Linked DNA regions of Arabidopsis thaliana. The protein of the gene in region 1 interacts with the protein of each later gene in a pairwise test. Each region holds a gene or a part of one and is shown on either strand. Other genes may lie near its edges.

Region 1 (4,708 bases):
GGCTTAGTAGAAGCTTCAGTTACATAATCAAGCAAATAGTCTTTTTTTCTTCTATATAAATACCTTTTTGTCTAAAATCTATAAACCCTCCTAAAACCACTTATATCTCCAAAGCCTCTAAAAGATTTGCTCTGTTTCTATTGATCTTTCTATGGATCGGAGATAACTAGTTTTCTAATTCCGGTTGTCGGAATCTGAGAAATTGTAGATCTGGTTTATGTAAATGAATGTGGAGTTTTGGGGGCAGAGAGAAAGAAAGATGCTAATAATTTTGGCTGTGTGATGTGATGGTTTTGTAATCTGGGGTTGAAATTTTGTTCGATGTTCCATAATAAACAGAGCATAACAACTATGTTCTTAATAAATATAAATTCAATTTCTGTATCTGCGTGTGATCGTAATGGTGTCTTAGAAATCGACAAAATTTATTCAAACTGGTGGTGTTAAGATTTGTTGGCTTTTATAGTTATTCGCATTGAACAAATTAGTCAGTTCGACTGCTCTTGGCGGTATGCATTTTACGGCAGGCAACTAACTAAGAACTCCGGGGAATCTTTTAAATGTGTAACAGTGACAGCTTTTTTGGGCCTTAAATGGGCTTCTCAAGATCCCATATATTAGGTTAAGACATTGACAGTTCCCACTTTCTATGAAGAATTTGATATTCAGAACCAAAAAAGAAAACATCTCTTCCTCTGTATAACTCAATGATTGTAGTCTTCTTGACCTGTAACTTTACCAGAGCTAGACCGAGTTTCAAGTGTTTATATCTTTGTATTACAGAATGTCAAAATCTGGTTTTCATTAGGTTCTTGTTCCATCTATCTTTTGTTTTCAGATTTGTTTTGGTTAATAGTGATTGAAAAATGAAGATTAGTTCCGTACAACACAAGAAACTTAAGATAAGTAGGATACACCCTAAATTTTCAGCAATTATAGACAACAGTTAAGCAAAGCAAAATCCATCCATCTGGTAAATGATTTAATTGATTACTCACAGGTAAAGAATTTCCCAAGACCCATCAAAGAACGGTTCTATGTTGAAGATTCTACTTAGAACTTTTGAGATTACATAGTGAAAAACTTTTAAGTGTCGACCTTTCTTCATTAGCTCTTCTCATCCTCCAAACGCAGTTTAGTATCATCCATTTCAAACCCGTGACCATCAGAAGAATGGTGGTTTAGCCACCGAGATTGTATTCAACCACAAGACTGTTGAGAGGAGAGAGTATCATTGTTTGTTGTGTACCTTAAAGCCAAAGATCTTAGGAACGTAGTTTTGAGCCGGCTTCTGCGGTTTCATGTTCCCATAGGCCATGAGAAACAAATGAGGGAAAGTAGTTCCAAAGTAAGCTCCATCAATGTCTGCAATAAGCATTAAGGAAAGAACACTAAGACAAGTGGACAACACTCTTTATCTTCTAAAAGATTTAATGCAAACAAACTAGCTAATCGCAATGTTTAACCAAACAATAGCAGATGCATCATATTATGACAAGATAAAGCTTTTTTGAACAGAGGAGCAAAGGATACTGCCTTGGTATTTAGATCGCGGGTAGTAAATATCCTCGCATTTTGGGCAGTATATCTTCACAGTGCTCGACCTCGGGATATCAGATTGGCCAACCGGAAGACAAGACTGTCCGCAACAGAAAACTCTGGGGCATCTCCCGAAATCATAATTCTTATACTTCTCCATCTACAAAAGAGAAAGATATCATTCAAAAGATCAATCAGAAACAAAGATGTAGAAGAAGTATCTTGCTTACCATAGCAGCCATTCCTTTAGTAGTGAGAATATAACGAACATGAATAAGACCATATAACATCTCAGCAGCTGATTCCACCATCTCATGCTGTTCTTCAGTAAACATATCACCTAATCCAATAAACATTCCTCCAAATTATACAACAATTCTCAGACAAAGTAAAGCCTAAATTCATCAAATGGACCCTTCACTTACCATTTGATGATTCAACATCTAAAATGAGATCAAGTGCATAATCATAGTAAGGAACTTGACCACTCAAACCACAGAGATTGAAATCATCTTGTATATAATCTTCATCTACTTCACAGAAAAACTCATTCCCTCTCAAATTACAAAACCATGAGATCCAAGAGGTATCATCACCTTCTGAACCACTCACATCTGATCCTTCACTATCCGTGTCAGATTCAACTGCATCCACAAAGAATCAAAATTTATTAATACCCAAATCAGAAAGTACTAAAACCACATGAAATTGAAATTGAGTGAGATATAAGCAATTAACCATCGGGGGAACGAGAATGAAGCTGAGATTTAGCAGTTGAAGTAGAAGGGACAGAATCTTTGTCCTTAGAAGTGAAAACCCTAGATGTAGAAGGTGAAGATTTCTTAAGATGTTTGTCTAAAGCATCATTGATTCGTTTCCGATCAATAGCTCCACCAAGGATCTCCGATCTCGATGATCCACCACCACCCATTATTCCTCCTCCACTCCGATCCTTGTACATAACTCGATTCGATTCCCTCAATGAAAAAAAACAAAATTTTTCAGCTTTAGATTCTCAAAGTCTTCGACTTTCTTATCATCAGAGGAAGAAGAGGGGCGGATAAATCTAGGGTTTGTTTTTTCTTCGATAGTTTGATCACAGAGTAGAAGAAAGAGAGAAGAAGAGATAAAGAGTGCTCTGCTTTTCCCTGTGGTTTTTTCTCATTCTCTACTGTTTTGTTTTCTTCTCTTTGTTTTTTTTTTTTTTTTTAATCATTGTTTAATTTTTTAAAATTCTAGTATTTAGAAATGGGCTTTTCGGATGGGCCTTATGACACTGACAGTTGTAATACAAAGATTCACGTAGAAGGAAACATTTTTTTGTACTTAAACTATGATTCCAAATTATATCTTAGGAAGAAAGAAATCATAAAATTCATTTTTTTTTGTATCAACACGGTAGTAATAATGGACTTGCCTTTCCATCTTTGTTAATGATGATGTGTTTGGTGGTCGATCCATTGTCCAAACTTAAATCGAAAAAAAAAACAAATGATCTAGAGATAATTAAAATTACACATCTTGTAAAATTAGTCATGTAAATGTAACTGAATTTACAAAATTTGATTTGATATAACCACCACTTATTTTCATTTTGCTGAAACATTTGGACCTTTGCATTTGCATTGATTGGTGAAAAAAACAAAGCACTATAATTTGTACAACTTTCATTTCTACCAATTATAATTTTTTTTATCAAAAGCGTTACTAAAAGATTTTTCTCTCAGCTTTTTTATACATTTTTTTTAATATAACTGTTTTTTAGTAATTTTATACTATTTCAAAAAAAGTTAACAGATAAAAGTTATGTACAGCTATGTGTTACCAATTAGAGTTTTTTTGGAAAGAAGTAAAATATGGCAAAATCTATCTAAATTCAAAAAATAGGAAAGAAATCAAACCCACCGAATAAAAAATTATTTTTAAGGCGTTTTGGCTCTCTGACAGCTCAAATTAAAGTTGACTCCTTTTTTACCACTCAAGTCTCATTCTCATTCTTCACTTGAACCAGAATAAAACCACAGAAAGAGAGAGAACAGGGTAAGTAAAATCAGAGAATTTTCTCAATCAATGTCAGCTTCAATGGCTGCAACATCAACATCATCAGCAACAGCTACAACGTTTATAAAGTGTGTCACTGTTGGCGATGGAGCTGTGGGCAAAACTTGTCTTCTTATTTCCTACACCAGCAACACGTTCCCCACTGTATATAAATCCATCTCTCCCTCTCTCTCTTTTGGATTGCTTTTCTTGATAGCTTTTGGTGACTGTTGAGATCTTGTTATTACAGGATTATGTTCCAACAGTGTTCGACAATTTCAATGCTAATGTTTTAGTCGATGGTAAAACTGTCAATCTGGGTCTCTGGGATACTGCTGGTAAATGCTTTTACCTAATGTCAAAGTTGTTCTTGTCTTTAGCTTTATATCTACAACAATATGTCAAGGTCTAATCTTTTGGTCCTTTTAAAAGAAGTCAGTTGAAAAATTTGAATCTTTGATGCAACATTGTTTTGGTTCTTGAATTCACTATCAGATTTTGCTCATGTTTCTTCAAAACTTAAATGAGACCAATTATGATTCTTGTGTTATATATCTTTTGGGTGATTCACATTATATTACAGGTCAAGAAGACTACAATAGGGTTAGACCATTGAGTTACAGAGGAGCAGATGTTTTCATTCTTGCCTTCTCACTTATTAGCAGGCCTAGCTTTGAGAACATTGCTAAAAAGGTTGAGACTTGAGATTATCTTTCCTTTTACTTTTAATTTCACTGTAATTTAACTTTACAACACTGATCTCATGTGCATATGGATCGGTTTTCTTTCGCAGTGGGTACCCGAGCTGAGACATTATGCCCCGACTGTGCCTATTGTTCTTGTGGGAACCAAATCAGGTTGAAGATAATGAACCACTCTGTTATGTCTTGAATGTTAGGAATCTAACATCAATGTGTAAGTGATGTTATGTAGTATATAAGATGAATTTCTTGATATTGCAGATCTAAGAGACAACATGCAGTTCCCAAAGAATTATCCAGGTGCTTGCACAATCTTCCCAGAACAGGTATGTTTTTTTAAAGATTCTTCTTCAATGTATATGATCAAGAACCATGTTAAGAATCAAACTCTTTTATAACTCAAAGATTGCTTCTTTTATAGGGTCAAG
Region 2 (3,554 bases), on another chromosome or scaffold:
AGTTCTTCTACTCCGTTTCTTACTATTATTTTTTGGATCTGACATTTCTGGGTTGTATTATGTGTAGCATGTGCCAGAAGAACCCAAATCGTTTTCTTCTTTCAGGGAACGACTTCACCACTTGCAGGCAAGAATTCTCTGATGTTTGAACGAGATTGGAATGTTCAGGTTTTATTTTTTGATATTATCGGCTGTAACATGTGTATGTTTAATGTAACAGAGGACAGAAATGGATCGGGTCTGCTTTGGGCGATCTGGAATTCATGGATGGGGTCTTTTTGCAAGAAGAAATATCCAAGAAGGAGAAATGGTATGTCAGCAGACCCATTTGTGATATTGTGTTTGGTCTATTTGGGATGAGGGGAGTGTTTATTGTCGAGAGGTGCTATTGTATTTCAGGTTCTTGAATACAGAGGGGAACAGGTGAGAGGTAGCATTGCAGACTTGAGAGAAGCACGTTATCGCAGAGTAGGAAAGGATTGCTATGTGAGTTGAAAAAGTTTCCATTTTATCTTCACAAATTGTCTCTTCTCTCTCTATCTCTCTTAACCAAAAGAAGGATTTATGTTGCAGCTTTTCAAGATCAGTGAAGAAGTAGTGGTTGATGCTACAGATAAAGGGAATATAGCTCGGCTCATCAATCATTCGGTAAGCTGCTTGGCATGGACTTTTTACGTACAAGAAATTTGACAGACTGTTAAAGCCTAAATCAAAATACGTGGTGTGTAGTGTACACCAAACTGCTATGCGAGGATTATGAGTGTAGGAGATGAGGAAAGCAGGATTGTCCTGATAGCCAAGGCCAATGTAGCTGTGGGAGAGGAGTTAACGTACACAACGCATTTCTATATATACCATTCTTCAATCTAAAGCTGATTGATTGTCATAGTTTAAGAAATGTTGTGTGGTGTTTTGGCAGGTATGATTACTTATTTGATCCAGACGAGGCAGAGGAACTCAAGGTGCCATGCTTATGTAAAGCCCCTAACTGCAGGAAATTCATGAATTAGAATAGAAAGGTATAGATCCTCTAAGTTTACTTCACAGGCTACAACACCAAGAAGAAAAGGCCAAAGCAAGATTGTCTCTTTTTGCTCCAAAAACAATAGATTTATAGGTAGAGAGAAAAGCTAAGTGATCCAAGTCTGATCTCTTCTGCCTCTCTGTATAGACAAACTCGTTTGTGTCACCATTATCCTCAAAAGAATTCAATTTCATTCATTTTGTTCATTTCAACGAGACTTGAGCAGAAAACTTGGGATAATTCCAACTGTTGTGACCGTTTTACCCTATAACCATCGGTTTACTACGGTTATACCGCGAAGGTGATGAGTCAATTCAATTGGGAATTGATTTTCCTTTCGCGCCGGTTTATGAATCGTGCTTTCGTCAAGTGCCATGTCAGACGAATTGTAGTTTGCTGCTGATAAAAGATCTCGTAATGGTTTTCTTAAAACACTTTTAAGCGTTTTTGACGGCCCAATTGATGCGAATATGGATTGACTCTTATCTATACTTCAGATATGTTCAAAGCCACACAAGGTAAATTGCATAACGGATAACAATTCCCATAAGAAAAAATGTTTCGGTGTCAAACTGTATATGAGCAATTCTGAAACATTCTAAAGATTTTGTGGTTATGTGTTAAACTTAAAGCATTTGATAGAGAGATATTTTTCAAAGAAATAGGAAAAAATAATGTTACAATCCTCCACATTAATGTTTACAATCCGTCCATCTGTACTTGACATGTCGGATCATAATCCAAGATAATGGGAATACAGATATAAGTTAAAAATGAATTCACTCATAGAAACTTGGAAGGCTATATTCGTCAATATAAAAGAGCATCCTTTAAATAGCTGCACACTGGTACAGTGGTTCTACTATTGAGTGAAAAAAAAAAAAAACTAAAGGCACGAATAATTTTTGTCTAATCAAAATTATTTAAATTGCTGCTATTTAAGATAACGATGAACGGTGACGAAACAAAGAAGGTGGAGAGCGAGTACATCAAGAAACACCATAGACACGAGCTTGTAGAGTCTCAATGTAGCTCTACGCTCGTTAAGCACATCAAAGCTCCTCTGCATCTCGTAAGCTTTGCTTTGCTCTGTTTTTCAAGTGTTAAAGATAACGATTTTTGAGATGTTAAATGATTTGTTTTGTTTGGAAAAGGTGTGGTCAATTGTGAGGAGATTCGATGAACCACAAAAATACAAACCATTTATCAGTAGGTGTGTGGTACAAGGTAAGAAGCTGGAGGTTGGTAGCGTAAGAGAAGTGGATTTGAAATCTGGATTACCAGCTACTAAAAGCACTGAGGTATTAGAGATTCTTGACGACAATGAGCATATTCTCGGCATCAGAATAGTTGGTGGTGATCATAGACTCAAGGTAAATTGAAATTTCCTTAAATGTACCATTCATTCCGACAAGATTATTGTTTTTTTTAGAGCTTAATTTGTTATTTGTCCAATCAGAATTATTCTTCAACCATTTCGTTACATTCGGAGACGATAGACGGAAAAACAGGGACATTGGCTATAGAATCGTTCGTGGTGGATGTGCCGGAAGGTAACACAAAGGAGGAGACATGCTTCTTCGTGGAGGCTTTGATTCAATGCAATCTCAATTCTTTAGCAGATGTTACCGAGCGTCTACAAGCAGAATCTATGGAGAAGAAGATATGAGATGTGACTTGAGAATCTTTTCATTCGGAAAAGAAGGAAAAAGACCAAAGAAGAGAAATAACTCTTCCCTTTTATAGCAATGTCTATGTTTTTTCTTCTTCTATTTCCATTTTCTGAATGTTTGTATATTATTGGAAGTTTGTAACGAAATGATTTCGAATAGCTGTCAAACGAGAAATATAAATTCAAATTTGTAAGTGTTTATATGAAATGCTTTTTTATTTTTAACATTTCCACATGAAAATATAAATAACATATCATGACACATGCAAAATCATATTTATGAAAGTTTTTTCAACTCTCTCCATTTTTTCGACATATCAGCATTAGATAGAGTGACACTTATCACATCAACATATGAATTACATTTCTTATTTAATTTAATGTATTTAAGAATTTATAATCATGCATTAATTCTTTCTAAATTTTTTGACATGTTTGAACTTATTAATTAAATAATTTCAATTTAATTAGGTACAAAGTATATCAAACTCACATAAATAACTTATTTAAATTAAATTATATAAATCGTATAAACTTATGTATAAACATAAAATTAATAGAATTTTAATGAACTTTTAGATTTGATTAAAGTATAAAAATTAAATAATATGATATAAGAATTTATTTCATGTTTTCATATACTAATATATATATATATATATATATATATAAAAGATTAATAACAATTGATATTAGTTAAATTTACGGTTTAGTTTAAGGTAAACCCAAGATGCTCTCATCTGGAATTCTGTTATGATCTGTACGTCCTCAAAGTTCCAGAGATGTTGAGAAAGATCAAACATCAGCAGCGTCAGAGGCTTTTTCTCTGGAGAGGTGATGTTGAATGGCTCTATGCGC

Evidence for each region.
Region 2: the proteins of CKB4 (region 1) and PYL10 interact in binary tests that used the Arabidopsis thaliana proteins (3 or more experiments, as listed by UniProt).

What each region holds. Positions count from the first base shown.
Region 1 is NC_003071.7:18,425,667-18,430,374, forward strand, and holds CKB4 (casein kinase II beta subunit 4), read right to left. Parts: upstream 2,732-4,708; 5' UTR 2,501-2,731; coding exon 2,278-2,500; intron 2,184-2,277; coding exon 1,965-2,183; intron 1,880-1,964; coding exon 1,770-1,879; intron 1,700-1,769; coding exon 1,534-1,699; coding exon of another isoform or gene 1,490-1,533; exon of another isoform or gene 1,366-1,489; coding exon 1,232-1,365; 3' UTR 815-1,231; downstream 1-814. Other genes in the region: AT2G44670 (senescence-associated family protein (DUF581)), read left to right, coding at 1-7; ARAC9 (RAC-like 9), read left to right, coding at 3,610-3,744, 3,830-3,917, 4,163-4,272, 4,373-4,436, 4,542-4,606, 4,702-4,708. UniProt on the Arabidopsis thaliana protein: Plays a complex role in regulating the basal catalytic activity of the alpha subunit.
Region 2 is NC_003075.7:13,899,247-13,902,800, forward strand, and holds PYL10 (PYR1-like 10), read left to right. Parts: upstream 1-1,895; 5' UTR 1,896-1,973; coding exon 1,974-2,096; intron 2,097-2,178; coding exon 2,179-2,397; intron 2,398-2,483; coding exon 2,484-2,693; 3' UTR 2,694-2,754; downstream 2,755-3,554. Other genes in the region: SDG16 (SET domain protein 16), read left to right, coding at 68-127, 221-310, 400-486, 574-648, 730-830, 920-1,010. UniProt on the Arabidopsis thaliana protein: Receptor for abscisic acid (ABA) required for ABA-mediated responses such as stomatal closure and germination inhibition.